5 linked regions of the Cricetulus griseus genome follow. The protein of the gene in region 1 interacts with the protein of each later gene in a pairwise test. Links are inferred from orthologs where the notes say so. Each region holds a gene or a part of one and is shown in the gene's direction. Other genes may lie near its edges.

The links.
Region 2: the proteins of Arfip2 (region 1) and Krt15 interact in binary tests that used the Homo sapiens proteins (3 or more experiments, as listed by UniProt). The two-hybrid records come from large-scale screens. The link is inferred for Cricetulus griseus from reciprocal best matches to the Homo sapiens genes ARFIP2 and KRT15.
Region 3: the proteins of Arfip2 (region 1) and Cep63 interact in binary tests that used the Homo sapiens proteins (3 or more experiments, as listed by UniProt). The link is inferred for Cricetulus griseus from reciprocal best matches to the Homo sapiens genes ARFIP2 and CEP63.
Region 4: the proteins of Arfip2 (region 1) and Arf3 interact in a two-hybrid assay, tested with the Homo sapiens proteins (2 studies listed by BioGRID and IntAct). The link is inferred for Cricetulus griseus from reciprocal best matches to the Homo sapiens genes ARFIP2 and ARF3.
Region 5: the proteins of Arfip2 (region 1) and Mal2 interact in binary tests that used the Homo sapiens proteins (3 or more experiments, as listed by UniProt). The two-hybrid records come from large-scale screens. The link is inferred for Cricetulus griseus from reciprocal best matches to the Homo sapiens genes ARFIP2 and MAL2.

What each region holds. Positions count from the first base shown.
Region 1 is NC_048596.1:94,063,175-94,067,666, forward strand, and holds the start of Arfip2 (arfaptin-2), read left to right. Parts: upstream 1-1,425; 5' UTR 1,426-1,575; exon of another isoform or gene 1,576-1,680; intron 1,681-2,355; 5' UTR 2,356-2,397; coding exon 2,398-2,496; intron 2,497-2,715; coding exon 2,716-2,812; intron 2,813-3,475; coding exon 3,476-3,594; intron 3,595-3,766; coding exon 3,767-3,988; intron 3,989-4,492. Other genes in the region: Timm10b (mitochondrial import inner membrane translocase subunit Tim10 B), read right to left, coding at 666-842, 1,006-1,101, 1,249-1,278. UniProt on the Homo sapiens protein: Plays a role in constitutive metalloproteinase (MMP) secretion from the trans Golgi network. May have important functions during vesicle biogenesis at certain cargo subdomains, which could be predominantly utilized by secreted MMPs, such as MMP7 and MMP2.
Region 2 is NC_048600.1:112,451,883-112,456,627, forward strand, and holds the start of Krt15 (keratin, type I cytoskeletal 15), read left to right. Parts: upstream 1-1,615; coding exon 1,616-2,104; intron 2,105-2,965; coding exon 2,966-3,048; intron 3,049-3,166; coding exon 3,167-3,323; intron 3,324-3,728; coding exon 3,729-3,890; intron 3,891-3,989; coding exon 3,990-4,115; intron 4,116-4,273; coding exon 4,274-4,494; intron 4,495-4,745.
Region 3 is NC_048597.1:210,865,524-210,870,123, reverse strand, and holds the start of Cep63 (centrosomal protein of 63 kDa), read left to right. Parts: upstream 1-1,678; 5' UTR 1,679-1,803; coding exon of another isoform or gene 1,804-1,835; coding exon 1,836-1,934; intron 1,935-4,472; coding exon of another isoform or gene 4,473-4,473; coding exon 4,474-4,511; intron 4,512-4,600. UniProt on the Homo sapiens protein: Required for normal spindle assembly.
Region 4 is NC_048595.1:395,234,715-395,239,355, reverse strand, and holds the start of Arf3 (ADP-ribosylation factor 3), read left to right. Parts: upstream 1-1,536; 5' UTR 1,537-1,727; intron 1,728-2,484; 5' UTR 2,485-2,561; intron 2,562-4,641.
Region 5 is NC_048603.1:797,676-802,246, reverse strand, and holds the start of Mal2 (protein MAL2), read left to right. Parts: upstream 1-1,668; coding exon 1,669-1,800; intron 1,801-4,571. UniProt on the Homo sapiens protein: Member of the machinery of polarized transport. Required for the indirect transcytotic route at the step of the egress of the transcytosing cargo from perinuclear endosomes in order for it to travel to the apical surface via a raft-dependent pathway.

The sequences.
Region 1 (4,492 bases):
AAACCCTTCTTTGTTTAAAGTCCTTATTGCTGATTTCACAAAGACAGGAAATATTTAAGATGGTAAACTGGGGAAATGATTGAAATTCTAGACAATATTCCCACATTCTTACAGGCTTATCTTTGATCTCCTAAGAATTGGTGGCTAAAGCCTATTGTGGTGCTGTTTTCTTCTTCCTCTTGTTGTCTGATATCACATTCTTCCCCTAGATGCAGCACAATTCTTTTTGTATTACAGCTCAGAAGAAAACTAGTTATTATGCAATATATATTCAGGCATTTGAGTTAGGCTCAAGGATAGCCACTGAGAGCTCCCCTTTTGGAACCAATTTCCCATTGCTATTACTAACCTTAAAACTATGTTTTTGCTGGGGATCTGAGAATGCTGAGTTTGTCCTACTACATTACAGAAGGCAATTTCTCAACTGCCAGGGCTGAGGGGAGAAGATAGGCACTAAATGGCAGAATAAAGGTTGGTACCAATAAGTGGACATAAATAAATTCCTGCCCAGAAAATCAACCAGAGTAAAAACCCGGTTTATTGGCTCCAAGAAAAGGAGCAATAGTGCCCAGCTTTCAGGCTCAATCTTTCTGTACAAATTTCGACAAGCCCAAGGTTCATAGAGGAGCCCATCCAAGCACCTTCTCTCCTGGGGCAGGCGATGGCTAGCTGCCTGATGGCGAGTCTCTGGGTTGTTCTGCAGTAACACCTGGCACGGCCGAGGCAGCCTCGTAGTCCGCGATGCGGCGCTGGACAAGGGCGGGCATGAGGTGGACGTAAGCGGCCATGAGGCGGTGGTTAGAATGGATGAGCTTCCCAGCACAGCTGTGTAGACAGGCCTCCTGGAAGGAAGACAGAGGTAAGCAGAGACCAAAAGGGGTCCTGTCAAGCCCTCCTCTCCGGGGCCCCAGCCTAGGGGTGAGGTCATGGGAGACCGAGATGCAAACGGGGGGTGGGAGGTGGACACGTCACGTTGTCAACCTCTGGGGTCCCCACAGTCCCCACCTCCTCAGCGTCCAGAGCTCGGTGGTGCAGGCTGGGCACACAGCGCTGGAAGCACAGTTCTGTCATCCGATTGTAGACCAACAGGAAATCTCGCAACTAAGAGAAAAGCGGATCAAGGCTTCACCACCGCTGAGGGTTCCTGGCGTGCGCAGTGCAGCCTGCCTTCCCCACTGGGGGTTCTTGCATGTACCCCAGAAAACAAACCGCACGTCTAACCCCGAGAACAACTTAGCTCTTACTCACGTTTCTTAGTTGCTGCTGCTGCTGCTCCATCACGCTCGGGGCACGCAGCCCACTTTACTTCCTCCCTGGGGGCGCGGAGTCACCCCGGAAGTAAATTCTCCCTAGTCACCAAGAGCTTCAAGGCGTGGTTCCAGTATCGCCCAGCCCATGTCTGCTAACGTCACCTCCGCCCTTTTGCTCTGCGACGTGGCCGGCTTCTTCTGCCCAGAGGGCACGTCACTTCCGCCGAATCTCTGACCTGCTGCTAAGATCGCGACGGGAACTGGAACCCGAGGTCCCCGCGCGGTCCGGCCCTCGCGCCCTGAGGGGAAGAGTGGCCCGGCCCAGGTGAGAAGGACATACTTGTACGAAAGGAAGTTGAATGCACGAACCTGTGCGGAGGGCAAGATGCCCTGAGCCCTTGGCAAGGATGAGGACACACCTGATGCCCAGGTGTGTGGGGGGGTGGTGGAGGGGACCTCTCACATCTGGAAGGCATAAACTGACTTTGGAAGGGACTGCCTGTGTCCTGGGAAAGAAGCTTTTAACTGACACCGGGAACACACCAGCTGCTTCAACTAAGGCCTGGTGGGGAGGGCCTGAGGGAGGCAGGTGCATGAGATGGAGAAAGGAGAGACCATTTGAAGGAAGAGGGGAAGGAACATCAAAGGATTTGAAAGACCAGGGATTGCAGAGCATGCTTGAGTGGCAAGTGAGCATCCGAGTCTAGGAAAGGGTTTTGCCTTCTGGTAAACATGCCTATGCAGGGCCAAGTTCCCAAAGAGCACAGACATTCCCCTCTGGCCCTCACTGCTGTAATCCCATTGCCTCAGTATCTGACGCATAGTAGGCACTCACTAAGTGTTTGTTGAGTGACTGAATGTGTAAAGGTTACTAAAGGTGAGGTTGGGGTTTGTGAGAAGACACCCAAGGCTTTGGTATACATGCATCTGTAGAAATAATGTACTTGGAAGAGAAGAAATACACATCTCCAGGAAAGTAGGGGCTGATCTCCAGGGACACCCAAGTCCTAACAGACAACCCCTGAAACCTATTAGAACACAGGGAAGGCCTCCTTGTTCTGGAGTGCTGGCCAGTTTCCAGAATTGTCTGTGTTGGGCTTTACAGCGTGCTGGGGTGGAGACCTTGACTCCAGTACCTTCCCTAGCCATGACGGACGGGATCCTAGGGAAGGCAGCCACAATGGAGATCCCAATCCATGGAAATGGTGAAGCTGGGCAGCTTCCTGAAGACGATGGGCTGGAGCAGGTGCTTCTGTTTGATTCTTCTAATTGTTTCAATTTAGCAATCCTGACTCTTGAATGTTTCGCTTTTCCCATCCCAATAGACTTCATTTAGTTAGTCCTCCTTATAGTTTTCAAGTCGTCATTATGATTCTATACAGACTTTACTATATACTGTCTCTATCCCCAAAATATTTCAGCCACCCCCATGTTCCTGAAGTGCCCCCTCTTCTCTGATCTATAGGACCTCCAGCAGGTGATGGTGTCAGGACCCAACCTCAATGAAACTAGCATTGTGTCTGGTGGCTATGGGGGCTCTGGTGATGGACTCATCCCCACAGGTATGAATGATAAGAGACAGGAGGCTTGAGTGGGAGGGAGACTAGGAGGCACATAGAACACATAGGAAAGCGTGAATCATGGATTGGAGAAACTTGAGAACTGCTAGTGTGAAATCCATAGACTGTCCAATCCCAGATCAGCTCTCTGAGCTCATCATCTGCTTCCCACTTGCCATTTAGATTCTAGCTTTCTCAATTGTCTTTTCTTTCCCTGGTGCCACCACCTGAGCCAAGTTAAGACCTATAAGTCACAAGAGCTCTGCAGCTTAAGGCTGATTTACAACTTTGTGAAGCTTCTCAGAGTTTTATAAGAGTCTTATACTGACTAAAATTCTACTTGGAAATACAAACCAGCTTCCCTGTTTTCTGTGCCCACCAGCTTTGACCCTTCCAGTCCCACTCATCATGTTTGCTTCTGTTTCTTCCTTCCCTGTCCACCCAACAACACTCCTACACGACCCCAGGAATGCCAAATACATACATTGAGTTGCTTTGGTTTTCGGGACCTAAGTCCCCGTTCCCCCTAATGAGCAGAAGAATTCAGTTATCTAGATTTCCTCTTTTAGAGAGGTCATTTCATGTGCTGGGAGGGAAGGAAGTGAGGTCACAGAAGTATCTGATTGTATGTGAGAGAAATTGGTGTTAGAGAACTTGATCCTTTAGGGTCTGGCCGCCATCCATCTCACAGCACCTCACCTTCTGGCCCTGGTGATGAGGTGGCCCGGGGCATCGCCGGAGAGAAGTTTGACATCGTCAAGAAATGGGGCATCAACACATATAAGGTAAGAGTCGAGTGCCTCTTCCCAGAAACTCTCCATGGGTACCTTTTCCTTTTCCCCAGATCTTAATACATAGTCTTTTGCTATGACTAAGAGAATGGGGGTGTTGGAGTAGTTACTTGTCGGGGTTGGGGTGGAGTTTAGATTTCTGACCTCCCACCCACTTCCCAATCAGTGCACAAAGCAGCTGTTATCAGAGAGATTTGGCCGAGGCTCCCGGACTGTGGATCTGGAGCTAGAGCTGCAGATTGAGTTGCTGCGTGAGACGAAGCGCAAGTATGAAAGTGTCCTTCAGCTGGGCCGGGCACTGACAGCCCACCTCTACAGCCTGTTGCAGACCCAGCATGCACTAGGGGATGCCTTTGCTGACCTCAGCCAGAAGTCCCCAGAGCTTCAGGTGCCTCAGCCAAAACAAAGAGGGTGGGGGTACTGGGCCCTGGCCCTTCCAGGCAGGCATTCCTCAGCCTCCCTCCCTCCCTCCTGCAGCCCCCAGGGAGAACCCCTCTGGGGTGTGCCCAGTCCTGCCCCCAGCATCACTCACCTATGGAGGCAGCCTAAGGGTTTGTACAGAGGTCCAAAAGTTGGAGGGGTTGTGGGAGAGGGCGCTCTGGTGCCTCACAAGTAACCCTTCTCCATATCATCAAGAATGCCTTTGGTGCTTGGCCTAATCAGAGTCCCTCCCCTGCCTGCTGCACTAGCTTTCCCTGTTCCTGTCTTCTAAACTTACCTAAGACTCTACTCCCACATTCCTACCCCAGGCATCCCCTAGGCGACCCTACTAACTTTGTGGCTAAGAGAGCCTTGCTAGAGGCAGTCTGGTTGTTTTAGTTTTGATGGCTGTTTCTTCTTTGGGACAGAAGGAAATAAAGGGCTCTGCAGCTCCAGTCAGGTAAGGACTCTT
Region 2 (4,745 bases), on another chromosome or scaffold:
TCCTGTTACAGCAAAAAGAAGGGTCATCCGATGGCTAGCTGGAGCTGACGAGCCTGAGAGTGTTCCAAGTCCGAGGGAAGCGTTTTTTCCTGGAGGGGGTCTCAGGAGGTGCAGGTGCCAGACCTGCAGCTATCACCCTGCCTCAGATGGATAATGGGGAGTCAGGAGAGGCAGAATGGGAATCTTGAGTCTCAGCATGTCCCATAAAGTGAGTGTCCTATACACAAAGAGGCTGAGCCTTGAAAACTGACGAGTACAGATCTTCACAGGAGTCATTCATAGAAATGGGGTTTAAACACAGGCCCAAGGAACGCTGGAGCCCTATTCACTTTCTCGTATTGTAGCTCTCCATTAGAAGCCCTCCTGTGGATTCTCTCCAGTCTGGGTGGCACTGCCCACAGTGCCATTGTCTTAGAGAAATAGGGCTGTTAGAGCTGGTGGCAGAAGACCCTGTCCTTTTTGGCCTCAGTATTGCAGTGACTGATTCCTTGGCCTCTGAGCTCTGATGTGTTCCACCTGCTTGCCAGCCCCCCTTCCTGCCTCCGCCTTCCTCCCTGTACTTAGGCACGCAGAGCAGAGCCTCTAGCTCAGCCCCTCCCCAGCTGGCAGCAGCTGACAAGGCAAATGGGGGTTAATCTGGCCCCTGCTAAGCAGCGACATGTCTCTTGCTGAAGAAGGCGGGGGACTTTCTGGAACTCGCCTGGGTCTTATCTGCAGAGGTTTGCCCCAACGCGTCTTGGGAGCAAGCAGAGGTTCAGTGACATGTGCAGTTGGCTGGTGACAGGACCATCAATCAGACTCCTGTCAGCCTGAGCCTTCTGGGCTTTTGTGAACTAGCCAGGACCCTGGGCTGGGGGGGGAACTGAAGAGGTAGGAGGGACTTCTGGAATTGGGGTGGTGGGAGGGCTGTGAGAGGAGAGAGCATGCCCAGGTATCAGGGATGGGAGAGAGGGACAGGCACCGGCTTTTTTGGTCAACTCGTTTGGAAGTTGACTTGAGACCCTATTAGCCTGCACTGTGGTCACCTGTGTTCTCATTCCCGGGGACTTCCATGTCCCGAAGGCTATGTATAGGGCGTTTGAGTAGGTAGTACAGAGCAGTGGTGGGAGAAACTGAAAGCAGGAAGCTTTCTACCTGGGGTGAGGCTCACATGCCAGCAGTGGGCTGGGGTGGGAGGCAGAGCTGGCCTGGCTGCTCTAACGGGATGGGACATGAGGGAACTTGGGTGCTATGCTGAGGGTTTGCTCTTGTGGCTCTCTTCTCCTTCCTGGAGTGAGAAATGAACCTGTAATCCAAGTGTTAAAACCATGGCCTAGAGCAAAACCCCATTAATTCTGAATCATCTCTCTTGTTGCATTAAGAAAAAAAAAAAAGAAAAGAAAAACTCACCACAAGCGAGCCCTGTGGAGGTGTGCAGGCAGCTGTATTTGTCTGGAAGGCAGAGGAGTTGGCTCCACTCAGGGGGAGGAGGCAAGGCCCCCACCCCCTTGAAACAGTATATAAGGAATCCCAGGCTAGGGGCGACAGCACTGCAGCCTGGTTTCAGCCCAGCTCAGAAGCTCCTGCTAGAGTCCCTCCTGCTTGAAAAGGACACGAAGGCTCAGGCTGCCTGACCATGGCCACCACATTCTTGCAAACTTCTTCCACCTTTGGAGGTGGCTCTACCCGAGGGGGTTCCCTCCGTGCTGGTGGAGGCGGCTTTGGTGGAGGGAGTCTCTACGGGGGAGGTGGGAGCCGAAGCATCTCTGCTTCTTCTGCTAGGTTCGTCTCCTCGGGGGCAGGAGGGGGATATGGGGGCGGTATGAGTTGTGGTTTTGGTGGTGGTGCTGGTAGCGGTTTTGGTGGAGCCTTTGGTGGGGGTTTTGGTGGTGGCTTTGGTGACTTTGGTGGTGGCGATGGAGGTCTCCTCTCTGGCAATGAGAAGATCACCATGCAGAACCTCAATGACCGCCTGGCCTCCTACCTGGACAAAGTACGTGCCCTGGAGCAGGCTAACACGGAGCTGGAGGTGAAAATCCGAGACTGGTACCAGAAGCAGAGCCCAGCCAGTCCGGAGCGAGACTACAGCCATTACTTTAAGACCATGGAAGAGATCCGGGACAAAGTAAGTCCTCATATATATGTCAGACAGAGGGAAACAGGCAGTAGGTGCCCTGTACACATATGCAACAGCAACATTGCTGTTGACTAAGAGAGTCCTTCCCTGCTGTGTAACCTGGCAAGGCTGGGATGCACCTGCTTCCCAGGCACATGTGGGAACACACGTGTTCCACTTGGCAGTGCTGGGGGAGGGGAGGGAGTGGTCTTGGGAATCTGATTTGGATACACAGGATTGCAAATGAGGGCAACAAAAGAGAGCAGCTCCTTCTCCCTGCCTCACAAAAACTTTCAGGGATTTTTGCAACTGATTGCTTTAACTTTGTGACCCGTGTGCTGTTCAGGCACAACCTCAAGAGTCCTAAATGCCAGGGCTGTTTACTTCAGGCCTCAAGGATGTCTTTATTGTTGATCATTGCTAGATCTTAGGAGACCAGGGAACTCAGTGGAGGCTGTGCCACCCCCTCACTTTCCCTTTTAACTAACTGGATCTGTTTTCCTTAGTGGCAAACACGTTCCTTAGCTGCTGTCCAAGTTCCCAATGACTGCAATGTTTTGGAGATGAAGGGCTCTGTCAAGGCACGCAGGAGGCAGCCACTGTGAGCTGTGCCCAAGTAGGCTGGTATAGTGTGTCTCCCGAGAGTCCTGACCTGACAGAGCCAACTGTATCCATTGCAGCACGGTCTTGACTAGCCATGCCCCCAGGCAATCCCAGGCAATACTGCCTCGTTAGTTTTCCATTCCTTGAAGATGCCACAGGGAAGGGAGCATGGGCCAGCACAACTGATGCACACAGGAAGAGAAGCTGGGCAGTAGTTGGCGAAGGGGGTCGTGCAGCAGCCCTAAGGTACAACTCTGTCTCCTGCAGATACTGGCGGCCACCATTGACAACTCGCGTGTCATCTTGGAGATTGACAATGCCAGGCTGGCAGCGGATGACTTCAGGCTCAAGTGTGTTCCCATTTCTCCACCCCTGTCCATTTCACCCCCTCTACCTAGCCTTCCTCCTCTATGACTCAGAACCTGGGCCCCTCACCTTTCCTGACTTTGGCTCCTCTCCCCTCCCCAGGTATGAGAACGAGCTGGCCCTGCGCCAGAGTGTGGAGGCCGACATCAACGGGCTGCGCAGGGTGCTAGACGAGCTGACCCTGGCCAGGACCGACCTGGAGATGCAGATTGAGCACTTGAATGAGGAGCTGGCCTACCTGAAGAAGAATCACGAGGAGGTAACAGCAAGACAGGGTGGTAGGAAGAAGCCCAGGACAGCCAGTCTTTTGTCACAGTCCTCTGAGGGCTTGGGGATTAAGAAATGTACCTGGGGGGCCCCATGGAAGAGAAGGGGCACTAATCTCTGGTAATCTGGACCCAAGGCCAAGCCATGTGTGAACTGCAGAATTGGTTTGCTTCATGGGCTTATTATCTCAAGGTCCTTGTTTCTTAGGACCCAGAGCAAGAGAGATCCTCAGAACTGAGGGGTCCATGTGTTCCAATGGGGAATAGAGATAGGGTGGTGTGATGTGCTAAGGTCACATTGTGAGTTAGAGACAGTCAGAGTTAGCCCTCAGGACTCTCGATTCTTTGTCTGCTTTATAGCCTTGTCTCTAAATGGTTGTCACTCCCACCCCTTGCAGGAGATGAAAGAGTTCAGCAGTCAGCTGGCGGGCCAGGTCAATGTGGAGATGGACGCTGCACCTGGGGTGGACTTGACCCGCATGCTGGCCGAGATGAGGGAACAATATGAGGCCATTGCGGAGAAAAACCGTCGGGATGCAGAGGCCTGGTTCTTCAGTAAGGTGGGCCTGACACCCCCAGCTCTGCTCTCTCCCTCCTTCCCACTCCAGAGGCCTCTGAGGAGGCCCATGAGGCTCATGTTTCTCATGTGTGACTTGCAGACGGAAGAGCTGAACAAGGAGGTAGCTTCCAACACAGAAATGATCCAGTCCAGCAAGACGGAGATCACAGACCTGAGGCGCACCATGCAGGGGCTGGAGATCGAGCTGCAGTCCCAGCTCAGCATGGTACGGTCACTCTCTCCCTACTGGGTGACACATGGCCAGTAAAGCCTCACCTCACACATTCCTGTCACCTCAGGCAGTCCTTACCACCCTTCCTGCTCTTCTCCCTCCAGTGGGTTGCCTTCTAGCCCAATGGGTTTATGCATCTGTCACCCCACCAGAAAGCCGGGCTGGAGAACTCTCTGGCAGAGGTGGAGTGCCGCTATGCCACACAGCTGCAGCAGATCCAGGGGCTTATTAGCAGCCTGGAGAGCCAGCTGAGCGAGCTCCGCTGTGAGATGGAAGCTCAGAACCAGGAATATAACATGCTGCTGGACATCAAGACTCGGCTGGAGCAGGAGATCGCCACTTACCGCAACCTGCTTGAGGGCCAGGATGCTAAGTAGGTGTACAGGTGCAGGGAGAAAGAAGGGGGATGGATGGATGGCCCAGGGCCATCAGAAGAGGAAATCAGGGTATCCCAAGAGCTGCTTTGTTGAGTGGAAGGAGACCTAAGGGGTCTGGAGTCTCCATTCTGGTGTTCAGCTGTTACTTTGGGCATATTGTTTCTGCTCTGGACCTGTGCTTCTCCTGTAAATGATGGACAGGGCACAGGCTGCAACTCCCCATCTGTCTGTTTGGGATGGCAAGCCT
Region 3 (4,600 bases), on another chromosome or scaffold:
ATAAAAAGCCTGGCACAATGGCATGCACTTCCATCCCAGAGGTGGGAGGCAGAGAGGGGAAGACCTCTGGGAGAGACTGCCAGACAGCTGAACAGAAAGCTCACAGGCTTAGTGAAAGACTCAAAGTGGAAGCGATAAGAGGAACACACTGGTGCTGACCTCTGGCCTCTACACTCACCCCTCACTCCACCTCTAGGCACAAACTTCACTACCATCAAGTCATGCACACACAATGAAGCAAAAGGTGGCCAGTACCTCCTGCCACCTAGGAACCAGGTGACTGCTTATCTTTTTTTTTTTTTTTTTTACACTTAGATTTAACTGCCTCTAGCCAGTGGATAATGCAGAGCTAGCTGCAGAAACGTAAAACTAATCCTTCCTGTCAGTTCCAGCCACACTTCCAGAATCCCACAAGTTTTCTAACTTTCTTGTCACTCCTTTGTTCTTGGAGCTATGTCTTGGGCTACCTTTGACACTTCTCCCACTGATTTTCTCAGGTCTATACAGGTTTTCTGTCCTCCAACGCTTGCTGTTTGCCTTAACTAATCTATGAGAAGTTAGGTCGGCTTTGTGACTGACGGGTAGGGTACTTCTGTCTCCAGTGGTAATGTGTAACAGCTGTACCAATGATTCCCGATCTTTCCACAAGTCGGCCTCAACATTTTGCAACATGTCCCTCTTCTATACGCTTGCAACCCGGCATGCTTTTCATCCACCTCCTGCACGTCTTCATCGGTAATGTTTGGCCATCCTTCCAAACCCAACGCGGATGACAGATCTTTGGGTGGGGCACTCGGGTTCTCCCTTTACATAAACAAAGAAGCAAGCACAGGCGATGCCCAAGCTACGGCCACTGCTCCAATCCCTTACCGCATATTATAACTTCTCCGGGTTACTTAAATATATATTTTTACACGCGTACTCTTCTCTTTTCTAGCGCAATCCTCACGCCCAACACAACTCTCAACTCTCAGGTTGTCTCCTTTAGACCCCAGGCCCTTCTCTTCACCAGTCCCCTAGATCTCTGGGGACAGTGCGTGACAACAGGGGAGCTTATGGCACTGTCCAGACATCTCCTTCTAGCTATTAGACGCGTACGTCTTATGCATTTTCGAAATCGACAGCTTTGTGAATGTATTTCTAAGCTAAAAGCACGGCGCAGACACTAAATTTGGTCCTCACGGGCCACCATCCCGAGTCACGAGACGCAGAGACGGTCGCCGCCGCCGCCGCAGCTTCCGGCCCGAAGGCTGGAGATAGCATATGCGGAAGTGGAAAGGGGAGGTGGAGCGTCGCCAAGCGGGCATCCTTCCGCTCCGCACGGCGTGCAATAAGAAAGTGGCTCTGAAGGTCAGCACCTGCCTGCACTTCTGGAAGCACTGGACGCCCGGAGCCTGGTGCGAACGCGGGGACACTCTGCGAAACCCGGGCCGCCGGCGCGGGAAGGAAGGAAAAAAAAACAAAAAAAAAAAACCCCTTACCCACAGCGCGCGAATCGGCTTCCTCCCGGCCCCGCCCTTTCTCCCGGCCACGTGACCCGCGGCGCCCGCATACCCCGTATGTGGTGAGTCCATCGCTGCTGGGAGGGGAGGGGGCGGGGACGGGGGGGGACGAACGTCAATTGTTGGGCGCGCGCGCCCCCGAGGAACGGCGAGCAGGCCCCGGGTGCGCGCTCCGCCGGGGACGCGCTCCGCCGGGGACGCGCTCTGTAACCGCCTGCGTGCCCCAAAGACCGGCGAGCCGCGGCTTGTTGTGGTGCGGACGCGGCCCTGGCCACCGTGGTGCCGCTAGTTTCCCGGCCGCATGGCCCGCGGCCGCTGTCCGTCGATTCCCACATGCAGCCGGACCCTCTACTGTTTGCCTGCGGCTGCCCGGGCACCGCACCCGTGGGTCTCTCCGACTACTCCATGTGCAGCTCGGTGCCGGCCAGCCAGGTGCTGCGGCCTCGGCGGAGGCGGGCGTGCGGGCGGGCGGGCGGGCTGCGGGCTTTAGGGTCAGCGGCTCAGCGGGAAACCCTGGTGATGTTAGTAGGAGAGGAGCGGAAGCGTGGCGGGAATCGCAGATGGCCTCATGCTTAAAGAAGTCAAGCATCGGGAACCAGATTGGGAGAGTGGAAGTTTGGAAAGGGCAGTTCCATAACGCTTGAACCACGGAGACGCTTGGCAGCGAATCTGGATTGCAAATAGGGCTTTTGCCCTGTAACAAAATCGCGCAGTTAGAGCAGGCTGTTGTCTCATTGGTAGACTTTACCCTTGCCCCAAAATACACCCTCCCTACTCAGCGTCTGCTCTCCCTCCAAGTCAGGGTCTTACTATGAAGCCCCGACTGAGCACGCCTTTAATCCCAGCATTTGGGAGGCAGAGGCAGGTAGATCACTGTGAGTTCGAGGCCAGCCTGGTCTACAAAGCGAGTTCCGGGACAGCCAGGGCTGCTACAAAGTAACGCAGAGAAAACCTGGGGAGGGAGGGGGAGGAGGGGAGAAAAACCCTGACTGGCCAGGAACTCACTATGTAGAACAGACTGTCCTCAAACTCGCAGAAATGGGCCTGCCTCTGCCTCCTGGGTTAAGGACCTGGTGCCACCTCGACTGGCTTTTCTAAGCTGTCTTTCTTGAGGCTAATTTAGATTTTTAAAAATTTATTTAGCAAAGCAGGGTAGGCGCTCAACTTCTCGTATACCTACATTTAGTTTTAATTTTGTATTTAGTTTATATTTTGTATTTAAGTAAAGGATCAATGAATATAAATTATCTTTAGCTATTTACACCTACTCTTCATGGTGTGTGTGTGTGTGTGTGTGTGTGTGTGTGTGTGTGTGTGTGTGTAATAGCCCTAGCTGTCCTGGAACTCGCCTTACAGACCAGGCTGGCCTCGAACTCAGATCCACCTGCGTCTGCCTCCCGAGTGCTGGGATTAAAGGCATGCACCACCATGACAAGCTACACTTACTGTTAAAGTCTGTAGCTTAATGTATAACAAAACAAGTTTTCTTATTTGGAATTCAGCACCATCTTTAGGTTAATTTTTGTCCCATGTTCTTTGTCTTTTATTGATCAGTAAAGGAGGCTGTAAAACTAAAATGGGTTAAATGGGTTAGAGATTTACAAACTCACATACACAGCCATTTAAAATGTGTGCATACTGAAGTTTTTTTTTTTTTTTTTAAAGATTTTATTATGTATACAACATTCTGCTTCCATGTATATCTGCACACCAGAAGAGGGCACCAGATCTCATAACAGATGGTTGTGAGCCACCATGTGGTTGCTGGGAATTGAACTCAGGTCCTCTGGAAGAGCAGTCGGTGCTCTTAACTGCTGAGCCATCTCTCCAGCCCGAATACTGAAGTTTTAAGGACAATATAGATATTATTAATTATGACAATGTTGCTTCCTCCCATGGAGCAGTAGAGGACCGTTACTTAGCCTTTCTGCTCTCACCTACTGTGTATGAGCTGACAGTGACAGCATTAGTCCAAACTGTCATAGCTAATATGCTCCCCACCCCATGGCTGTCATAGCTAAGATGCTTCCCATGCCAAGGGCTAGATTTGCTTTTATAAAACCATAGTACTACTTTTATAGCAGTACAAATTTGTAAAAAAAATACACAATGTCAGTATCCAGTGGGATCAGGTTTCTCCAGCTACTCCACATGTGCTTGCAATACCTTGTTTGGATCAAAATTCTGCAGAGAACTGTCTGCTTCATTGGTTTGCCAGGCATTTAAATCCTCTAGCAATAGCTGCTTCTTAACCTCCCATTCCTCTTTACCATTTAAAAATTAGCTGGTTGTGTGTAGTTTTGAACACTCGTCTCTACTTCACCTATGACCTCTACTCCACTGGCTGAATCCTGAGTTACACTGTCCAGTATGGTCGTCATCAGATAGCCGTGCTGTTTTAAATGAAATAAATAATTGGTTCCCCAGTTGCATTAGTCACCTTTGAAACACCCAGCAGTCACAGGTTGCCTAGTGGCTGCTGCTTGAGTAATACAGATAAAAATGTTTCCATAATCACAGAAAGTTCTGTTGAAATACAGTGATCAGAAGTGTTAGATTCAACTTTTTTTTTTTTTTTTTTGATAGGAAGTGCAAGAAAAAAAGCCATAGGTGTAGGTTCTATATTATGAAAATTATCTGTTGCATTCATTATCAGGGTGACATTTAATGTCTGAGTCATCCTATCTGGGATGTTACAGTTGAGCTGTGTAGAGTGGTTCCTGTGCTATCAGTTCAGCTGACCCACCATGAAATTGTTCAAGAGCCTTTCAGTTAATAGGGATACCTTTCTTTCATGGCTAGCAGTGCCTGGGTCTGTTACTGCACCACAGCCACAGAGTGGTGGTTTCTAATTGTGTCTTGTCTGGCACTTTGCTGAAGAACTTGCCTCCCATAACTGTCTGACTGCCCTGAAATACAGTTGGGACAGGAATGGCAAGAAAAATGCTTAACTCTGTTCCTTTCTTTTCAGACTACAGCAATGACTTGGTGGCCTGGCAACCTTCAAAGGTAACCTGAAGGCTTTACCTTTAAAACCAACAGATAGACTTTAATATGTTTAAAACTGTGGCCTAGCAACCTCCTGAGTTAACCTGAGG
Region 4 (4,641 bases), on another chromosome or scaffold:
TGTAATGACTCTCTAGCTTGTGGTTTTTTTTGTTTTGTTTTTGGTGTGTTTGTGTGTGTGTGTTTCTTTTTTCAGTCTTTTTTTATTTTTTATATATTTGAATTACAAACAAGATTGAATTACATGACAATCTCAGTTCCCTTCTCCCTCCCTTTCTCCCCTACCACCCCCCCAACTAAAATCCTACCTATCATATGTCCTTTCTTCTAATCTATACCTGACTCAACCTTTCTGCTTCCTCATGACCTCTGTATCCTTCCTTTTCTTCCCTTCTCACTCTCGTAGCTTCCTCCCCCCTCTCCCCATGTTCTCAATTTGCTCAGGGTGTGTGTGTGTGTGTGTGTTTTGAGACAGGGTTTCTCTGTGTAGTTTTTTGTTGTCCTGGATCTCTTTCTGTAGACCAGACTGGCCTCGAACTCAGAGATCTGTCTGCTTCTGCCTCCCGAGTGCGGTGATCAAAGGTGTGTGCCACCACCACTTGGCCAGCCTATTTCTCAGAAGAAGATAAGAGCAATAATTTTGGGTCAGGTTCTAGGGAAAAGCTGTTTTTCCATATATGACATGCATTTAAAGAATGTGGTGGGGGCTGGAGAAATGGCTCAGCGGTTAAGAGCGCTGGCTGTCCTTCCAGAGGTCTTGAGTTCAATTCCCAGCAACCACATGGTGGCTCACAACCATCTGTAATGAGATCCGGCACCCTCTTCTTGCCTTCAGGCATATATGCAGACAGAACACAGTATACAAAATAAATAAATAAAATTAAAAAAAAAAAGAACGCGGTGTTCAGTTTTACTAGTGAGGGCCCCTCTAGTGCAGCTTCCAATATAGCTTCTAACCAGTCTCAAGCAGCGTCTCCATCACGTTTAAAAGAAAAATGAGTCTAAAGGAAGGAAGGAGGGACCATGGGTGCTTTGTCCTCGGCTACTCATCCAAAGAGACTTCATCAGACCTGCTTCTGGGTAATTAACATTTCTGCCCTTCGTCTTTCAACTTCCTAGACGACCCAGATTCCAGACGTTTCCTCCAGTATCTCAAATGCATTAATCTCTCCCCTCTTCCATTATGAGAAACGATCTCCCGATTCAGACCTCAGAGAAACCATCCTTAGGGATCAGTGAGCAGCAGCAGCAGCAGGTGGGGTGCTGCGTGTTTATTAGAAATAAAGACCGGAGTAGGGGCAGGTGTCAACAAAGGTTTTCGCATCCACACTCCACCGCTGGCTCAGCCTGAGAAACCCCAGACACTCCCTTGTTCAGGTCGGGCCTCTAGCGCGGCCCGAATGTGGTCTCAGTCCTCAATTCTAGGCCAGGCCCCGGAGCTTGGGAGCCGCACCTCGGTCCCCACACCACAGCCTCATCTCCACACTCAGCCTTTTCCAGCCCCCACACCAGGCTCTGCTTCAGCACCCGACCGCTTTTTGCTGCAGCCGCTGCCATGGTGATGGGTCTCGCGAGAACTGCCGCTCGCTACCGCGCACTTCTCGCGCGATCGTGGAGGTGGGAAGTATCCCGGACTGGGGGTGGGGGCTCGCCGCACATCTCCTGTCGCCGTCGCGGCTTCCGGTGCTAGGTGGAGGGAAGGAAGGAGGGGAGCCGGGGAGCGGGCCAGCGGACCAGCGTCGCCGCCACGGTCGGCTCGGGGAAGCGGGAGGCAGCGGCCCGAGAGCCAAGCGGAGCCTGCGGGGGCGGAGGTGGCGGTGGCAGCCGCGGCGCTGGGCGCAGGAACAGGTTCGGAGCTGGAGAGGGAAGGCGGGTCCGGGGCAGGGGAGAAGAGGCTGGCTGGGTCGGGTTGCGAGCCGAGGAGCCCGAGGCCCCTCCTGCCGGGCGAGGGGCGGGGGGCGGTGGTCCCCAGCCCCGCTCCTGCCCCCGCAGCTGAAGGACGCCGAGCCGGGGTGGGGGCGGGGGGGGCGCACGCGGGCTCCGTCCTCCGCCTCGCCCGAGGAGGGGGCGACCTGGGCTGCAGAGGTGGAGCTTTCGAGCTTGAGGGGGAGGCGAGTTGACCGGTGGGAGGTGATGCGGGGGCGGTGTGGCTGTTTGGATCTTTTCCTTCTGTTGAAGGGCTATGAGGAATGCTGCCCTTTTTTTTTTTTTTCTTTTCTTTTCTTTTTTCCCCCTCTCTCCCCCGCCTGAGCTGTGGGGGGACCAAAGAAAAGCCTCGCTGTGGTTATATTCTCCCTCGCCCGTCGTGAGGCATGGGAGCCGGGGTTTGGTATCAGGGCCTGCTGGTGGGGCACCGCTGCCCACCGTTTTCATGGAGGTTGCGCCCTGCTTTGGGGTGTTGGGAAGGGCAGGTTGGGAAGAGGGCAGCAGGTGGGGAGAGGGTGGAGAGAGGAGGCTGGAGAAGGGGGAGGGGGACCTGAGCTAGCTTGGAGGATAGAGGTGGGGCCTTCCTCCCCCAGGCGTAGCGGGGGCGGTCTCATCGGAGGAGGGAGCATCTTGTCACTGGCCCTGAGTTTGTGTCTTCCAATCCGCTTTCTTTCTCTAGGAAGTACCAGGATTCCCGGAACAGAAAATGAAGCCCTTGCTTACGCCAGTCCTTTGAAGGAAGGGGGAGGTGGGGAGGTAAAGTTCCCCCATTAAAACGCAGCCCCACTTGATTAGTTAAGTGGTGGACTCTCTTTTGGAGAGACTTGTTCGTTTTGGGAGTTCTGTTACTGCTGGTCTCTGGGCCTGATGGAGGAGAATGTGGTCAGGAATGAGAAGAAAATAGTAAGGTCATGAGGGTGAGGAGAAAGGTAATGTAAAACCTATCTCTACGGACGCTGGATTGGGTCACCCTTGGTCTATGGCATGAAAGTTTTATTGGGAGGAGATCTGCTGCCGGAGTCTGATTGCTTGACTCATTGCAACAGGATAGAATCTAGTCTCTGCATACCTGCATCTGTCCCCAGTCAGGTAGATGGAGACTGTCTTTGCTGCCATTTTGTCTTAGGCCTGTTTGGGGGTAGTGTCAGGATGGGCGGTGGCCAGAGGTGGTGGTCTTTTGTGTCCTGTTTAAATAAATTGTTAAAGCCCGTTTTAAGAAAGGCTCGAATCACTCGTTCATTTTTGCACAGAATGAATCATTGACCTTGGAGGCAGCTGGAAAAGGAAGGCTCCCATTTGTATCACATTCAATGTCTTGCCATCTTGCACAGTCAATTTTCCTTCCTTTCTTTCTCTCTTCCCCTCCCTCCCTTCTTTTCTTTTTTCTTTGAGACAAGATATCTCTGGGTAGTCCCCTTGATGGCCTCAAACTTACAGCTGCTGCCTCTGTCTCTTGAGTGTTGAGGTTACAGTGTGGGTCCCCACAACAGACCCCTACTGGCTATTTTGAGACGTGCTGGGTTTGAACTCAAGAGTCTTTCTTTTGTAAGATGAACAAAGGGATGGGAGTGTATAGCAATCAGCAAGGTTTCTAGCTATAGTTTCAGGAAAAGGGACGGAGGAGATCTCGGCACTAGGAGATGCAGCAGGAGGATAGAGGTTTAGGCCAGTCTGGGTTATGTAGCAAGACTGTCGCCAACAAAACAAAATAAAAAAACCTGACATATTTAGAGATAGACAAGCAATTGTCTATCTTATCAGGTGTTAAGGGTGATATTTTAGTGTGCGTTTATCTGCTCCCATTTCAGTATTTATGAAGAGAGGAAGTGGGATTAAAGGACAGAGCAATCTCTATTGAGAACAAGAAACTTCTTTAAAATTAGGTTTGTTGCCGGGTGGTGATGGCTCATACCTTTAACCCCAGCACTTGGGAGGCAGTTTTATTTTTTAATTATTTTTATTTTATGTGCATTGGTGTTTTGGAACTGGAGTTACAGACAGTTGGGAGCTGCCATGAGGATGCTGGGAATTGAACCTGAGTCCTCCAGAAGAACAGCCAGTGCTCTTAACCACTGAGCCATTTCTTCAGGCACTGAGACCTTACCTTAAAACAAAACAAAAAACCCAAACAAACAAAATGAAGGCTTCAGGGACCAGTGGGAGCGTAGGCTTAACACAGTGGTTCTCCACCTTCCAGTTGAGACTTTTTAGGATTTCATAAGACTATCAGAAAACAGATATTTACATTGCAGTTCGTAGCAGTAGCAAAATTACAGTTCTGACATAGCAAGGAAAATAATTTATAGTTGGGGGATCCCCACAATATGAGGAGCTGTATTAGAGTCTCAGTGTTAGGAAGGGTGAGAACCACTGACTTGCAGGTAAGGTTACTTGAAGCCTCGCCTGAAGGCCTGAGTTTGAGTAAGTTGGAAAGAGAATCACTGTTCAGAAGTTGTTCTTTACCTCCACATGTGTAATATGGTGTGCACCTGCCCACATGTACACTAAATGAAAGTGTAATTACTCTTTTAAGGGCTAGAGAGATGGTTCAGCAATTGTTCCTACCTAGCACCCACATTGGGCATTTTTATAAGTCTCTCTTAACTCCAGCTCCAGGTGACCAAGGCTTAGTCTCTTCCTCTTTAACCTGCATCCACCTGCATGCACATTTAATCCCCGCTCCCCAGGTGCCTTTATTTGCAGCACTAAGGAAGCACAGGCAGATGGATCTGGGTGAGTTCCAGGACAGCCAGGGATATACAGACTCCTCAGGGGGGGAAAAGTAAATCTTTGAGCATTTCTACAATTTTCTGTGTGTTGGTTTTTTGGCTCCGGT
Region 5 (4,571 bases), on another chromosome or scaffold:
TCATTTCAAGTTCACTCAACACGATATTTTGGATACCTTGTATGCCGTTACTGAGTATCTCCATAAGGTATTCTCTGATGTGGCCTCACATTTGAAGATCTTCTAAGTGCTTCCCAGGAGGAAATGAAAAGTCCTTGCCAATCAGGGTCTGGCTACAGAAAAGTTCATCGGTCAAACAAATCGATGCAGAAAGCACGAGGTTTCCTATGAGACAAACAGCACACACAAAATGCCAGGAAGTGGTGAGTAACAGGTATCACCTCCCTAGGTGACAGGAGGTACGTATAAAGGATTTCATCCACACCCTGCTTTGTGGCTTTTCCTCTGGTGCCACCACCACCACACCTATGAGTTTCGCTCATTAAAACAATAAAGACGTAGGGTAAAACCTGCTGACAGCCCAGGCAGGGAGCAACTCGCAGACTCAGTTTGGAGACTGTCTGATAGTGTGTGTGTGTGTGTGTGTGTGTGTGTGTGTGTGTGTGTGTGTGTGTGTGTGTGTGTGTGTCCTTGTTGCTTGACTGGGTCTCCCTAGGTATCCCTAGATGTCCTATTACCGGTTTTGCAGCCTTCTGGTTTCAAATTCAGGGCAATCCTCTGGCCTCATCCTATGAAACGCTGCTATTCCAGGCTTGTGCTGCCATGCCAGGGTTAGCTATTGTTTTTTCCACTGGATCTACTTGTGTGCTGATGTGAGTCATTTAACTTATCTTCAGATGACCTTTGAGAAATGCCCCTTCCTTTGTCCCACTTACAGACATTAACACTGAAACCAAGACTACAATGGGAACGCACGAGGTAAACTGAGGCAAGGGACTCATACATAGCATCCTTTTTTTTTTTTTTTTTTTTTTTTTTTTGGTCTGCTGAGTGTTAAAAGACAGTGTCAAAGAGTACATGTGTGAGGGCTAAATGAAAAGGGTCTGTGTGGAAACGTGATGCGGCTGACATCGTTTGTAGACAGAGCAATGATACAGATCTCGGGATTGGAAAAGTAGCTGCCGTCCTAAAAGCTACAGTTTACAGAGCGCTTCCTGGGCACTGAACTTTTCTGTCCCTCACTGGCGGATATCCTCATAGGGATTTCCCGGAACAGAGTAGGAAACCTCAAAGCAGCCCTCCGGGGACCTACGGCCAGCCATCGACTCCCAAGTGCCACACGACCCTGGTGACATCTTTGAAAATTCCATTACAGTCCCCTTTAAAACAGGCATCCCGCTTTCCAGGTGTGCCTGGCGACTGGCGTTTGCTTTCTGAGTCACAGTCTCTGTCTTCCTGCCCAACTGGGGACAGAGGGTGAGGCCCGGGTGAGAGTGGGGTGGGATGGAGAGGTGGGACCCGCGGGACATTTAGCGCAGGGGCAGCAGGTGATCGCGAGAGCCTGGGCGAGCTGGTGGCCCTGTAGCCGGAGCGCACCGCGCACCTGTACGGGTGACCCCTGCGGGCGCCGGGGCGGGGACGTGCTCACCTGCGCCCACGTGACGGGGCGGGGCTCTGTGTAGAGGGCCCTTGGCCACGCCCTCTCGGCGAGCGGCACGCCCGGACCCCGCGGACCGGATCGGCGGCGGCGGCGCGCGGCGGCGCGGCGGCGGCGGCAAGCCCGGGAGGGAGGCGGAGGCGGACGCGGGAGGCGGTGGCGGCTGTGCGCGGAGACGTAGCAGCGGCAGCATGTCGGCCGGCGGAGCGGCAGTCCCGCCGCCCCCGAACCCCGCTGTGTCCTTCCCGGCGCCCCGGGTCACCCTGCCCGTGGGCCCCGACATCCTGCGGACCTACTCGGGAGCTTTCGTCTGCCTGGAGATTGTGAGTAGGGTAGCAGCGTAGGCGACGATCGAGCCCCGGGGAGCAGGGACAGGCAAGGCAGCATCCTTGCCCCCAGCCCGGTCTGGTCCCCCCGGCGATCACCTTCTCCTGGAAGTGGCCTTTTCCTGCCCACGGTCTCGGGGTCCCCTCCACTCTGTGTCCGGGCCTTTTTGCTTGGCACCTGTTACGCGGCCACCTGCTCGCCGGCCTGGAATGGAAATGTCCCCTAGAGTGCGAGCAGGCAAAGGGCCCAAGATTAGGGACTTGGGCAGGAGAGGGGTGTTAGCGCTTGGAGGAGTCGCGGGGACTGGGCTTTGGACAGGGTCTACGCTTGCCTGGTGGAGGAACTGGCGCCCTCGGCCCCTCCTGTCGCTAACCTGCCATTTTGTTGGGTGGTGCAAAGGTGTACCGATGACTGGGTGGCCAGGAAGCTGGTAGGATGTGGAAAGCCGGGGCGGAAGGCGCCAGGGAAAAGGAGGAGCAGGAGGAGGCTGAAGCCTGGGTATGGTTTTCACCCCACTCACCCTTGCCATCGTCAGTGCCCTTTGGATTGGGGAAGAACGGGGCAGGGAGGACGGTGAGATTGTAGGTGCCGTTGGCAGTGTGTAATCAAGAGGCCGTGAGAACCAACCGTGGGGAAAAGTGGAAGACAGACGTGGGGCTGTCAGCTCCAACTCTCGCCTTTGCCCCTTGTCCATTTTCAGTTTACCTGAGAATTCCAAACCTCCTCGGAGCACCTCGCTTGTACCTAGGAAAGTTGAAGTCACAGGCCCGCCCTGCAACCTTGTGGAACTAGACACTTGAACTTGGGCAAGGAATGCTGTACAGTTGGGAGCTTTCGAAGCTCCTTGTGGACAAGGGGGATGTGTAAATATAAATTGGGCAACTGGGGTTGCATCATGCCCGGAGAATGTCAAATAGAAAGAAATGTTAGCAAGGCAGGGCCTTTCCTGCAGGCGGGTTTTGTTTGCTCCCTTTAGGGTTTTCATGTCACTCATCCTCCTGTGAGTTTGCATAACCTGGATCTGGGTCACTCTGGCTTCCCTTTTGTGCTGTGGAGCTGAAAACCGTGGGAGCCTTGGTTTTCTGCCCCACTATGCTTTGGTAGCCAAGCCACCTTAGGTTTAGCTCCGATTTGAATCGGAAAGCAGAGGCGGTGGCAGCTGGGATCAGACTGACTGTGAGTCTAGAAGACCCTGGTGTGGGTTCGGGTTTAAGCCCAGTACAGCGGCATAGGAATGAGACAGTGATGCTATATATATTAGTCTTGAGATAGGTGTGGTCTACCACTGAGCTCCTAACTTGCCAGCCCCTCGGTGTTGGCCCAAGCTATCCTTCCCTGTTACATATTTACCATATATTTGCCTAAGTTTAATACAAAGTTGATCTTGCAAAACCAAGCCTTTTAGCTCAGGCTGAAAACATTAACACCAAAATTTATCATTTTCAGGGGCCAGGACAAAGGATCAATGAGTAAAGGACTTGTTGCAAAATTGTGAGGACCTGTGTTCAAATCCCAAGAACGCTTGAAAAGCTGCCCTCCGTGGTAGAGTTGCTGCCTAACCTTTGGCTAGAACTTAGCTTCATCCTCAGCAGTAATATACATTGCATCTCAAATTTGATATGTTGGTTATACATTTCTAATAGTTATTCAAATATATTTATACAATTAACTTGTATGTATACATATACATGGCATATATGTATATATATACATATATATATGTATACACACATGTGTATATGGAAACATATGCATAGAAGTGTTGCCCACATGTTATCAAAACAAATGCTACTCAGGACCCACCTGACGGTGTGGCACATTTATGGAACACTAGTTCTGAAGGTGACTTATTGAACTCCTTCTAGCTCCATATCTCCTTTTCCTATCTACCACAGTAGTTAGTTCTTAACTCTGGCTGTATTTAATAACTTGGCAGCTTTGAAAAGTACTGTTGCCAGCCTGGACTAATTAAACCAGTGTCTCTAAGGGAGCACCCAGAGTCAGCTAATTTTTTTTAAAGTTCCCTGGAGATCCCAATACACAGAATAACTGCAACTGACTGATAGTGCCTTTGGACCAGGATCTGCAGAAAGGAGAACGTTTTTTTGTTCATTAGGATGGATAGGAGGATTAGATTCTGGAAGTGTGGGGAAGTATCCCACATACTTCCTGCTTTCTTAGTCTTCTTAGCCGCTCCTCTGGCAACTTACCTAACCCTGACACGGGTTAGACTCTTATCAAAGTAGAGGAGTCTCTTCCCAAAGCCATTTGGACTTGCACGTGTGTGTGTGTGTGTGTGTGTGTGTGTGTGTGTGTGTGTGTGTGTGTGTGTATCCTCGTGCCTGTGTGTTTAAGTGTATATGGAGGCCAGAGAACAACATTGAGTGTCATTCCTCAGGAACTGTCCACCTTTTCTTTTTTAATATTTTGCTTATTTATTGAGGGAACAGAGGGCACACCCATTCCACAACGCTTGTGCGGAGGTCAGGGGAGAACTTGCAGGAATCAGTTCTCTACTTCCACCATGCGGGTTCCAGGGGTCAGATTCAGATTCTCAGACTTGACATTAGGCACTGTTCCCACTGAGTCATCTCACTATCCTTTGGACTCTTTTGGGCATAGGGATCAGGATGAGCAAGATCTCTTACTGGCCTGTAACTTGCCAAGCAGAATAGGCTGGCTGGCCAGGGATCCGCTTGGCTCTGCCTGTATAGCACTGAGAGAACACATCACCCTCTGCAGCTTTTCTTTAGTATGTTCTGGGGGT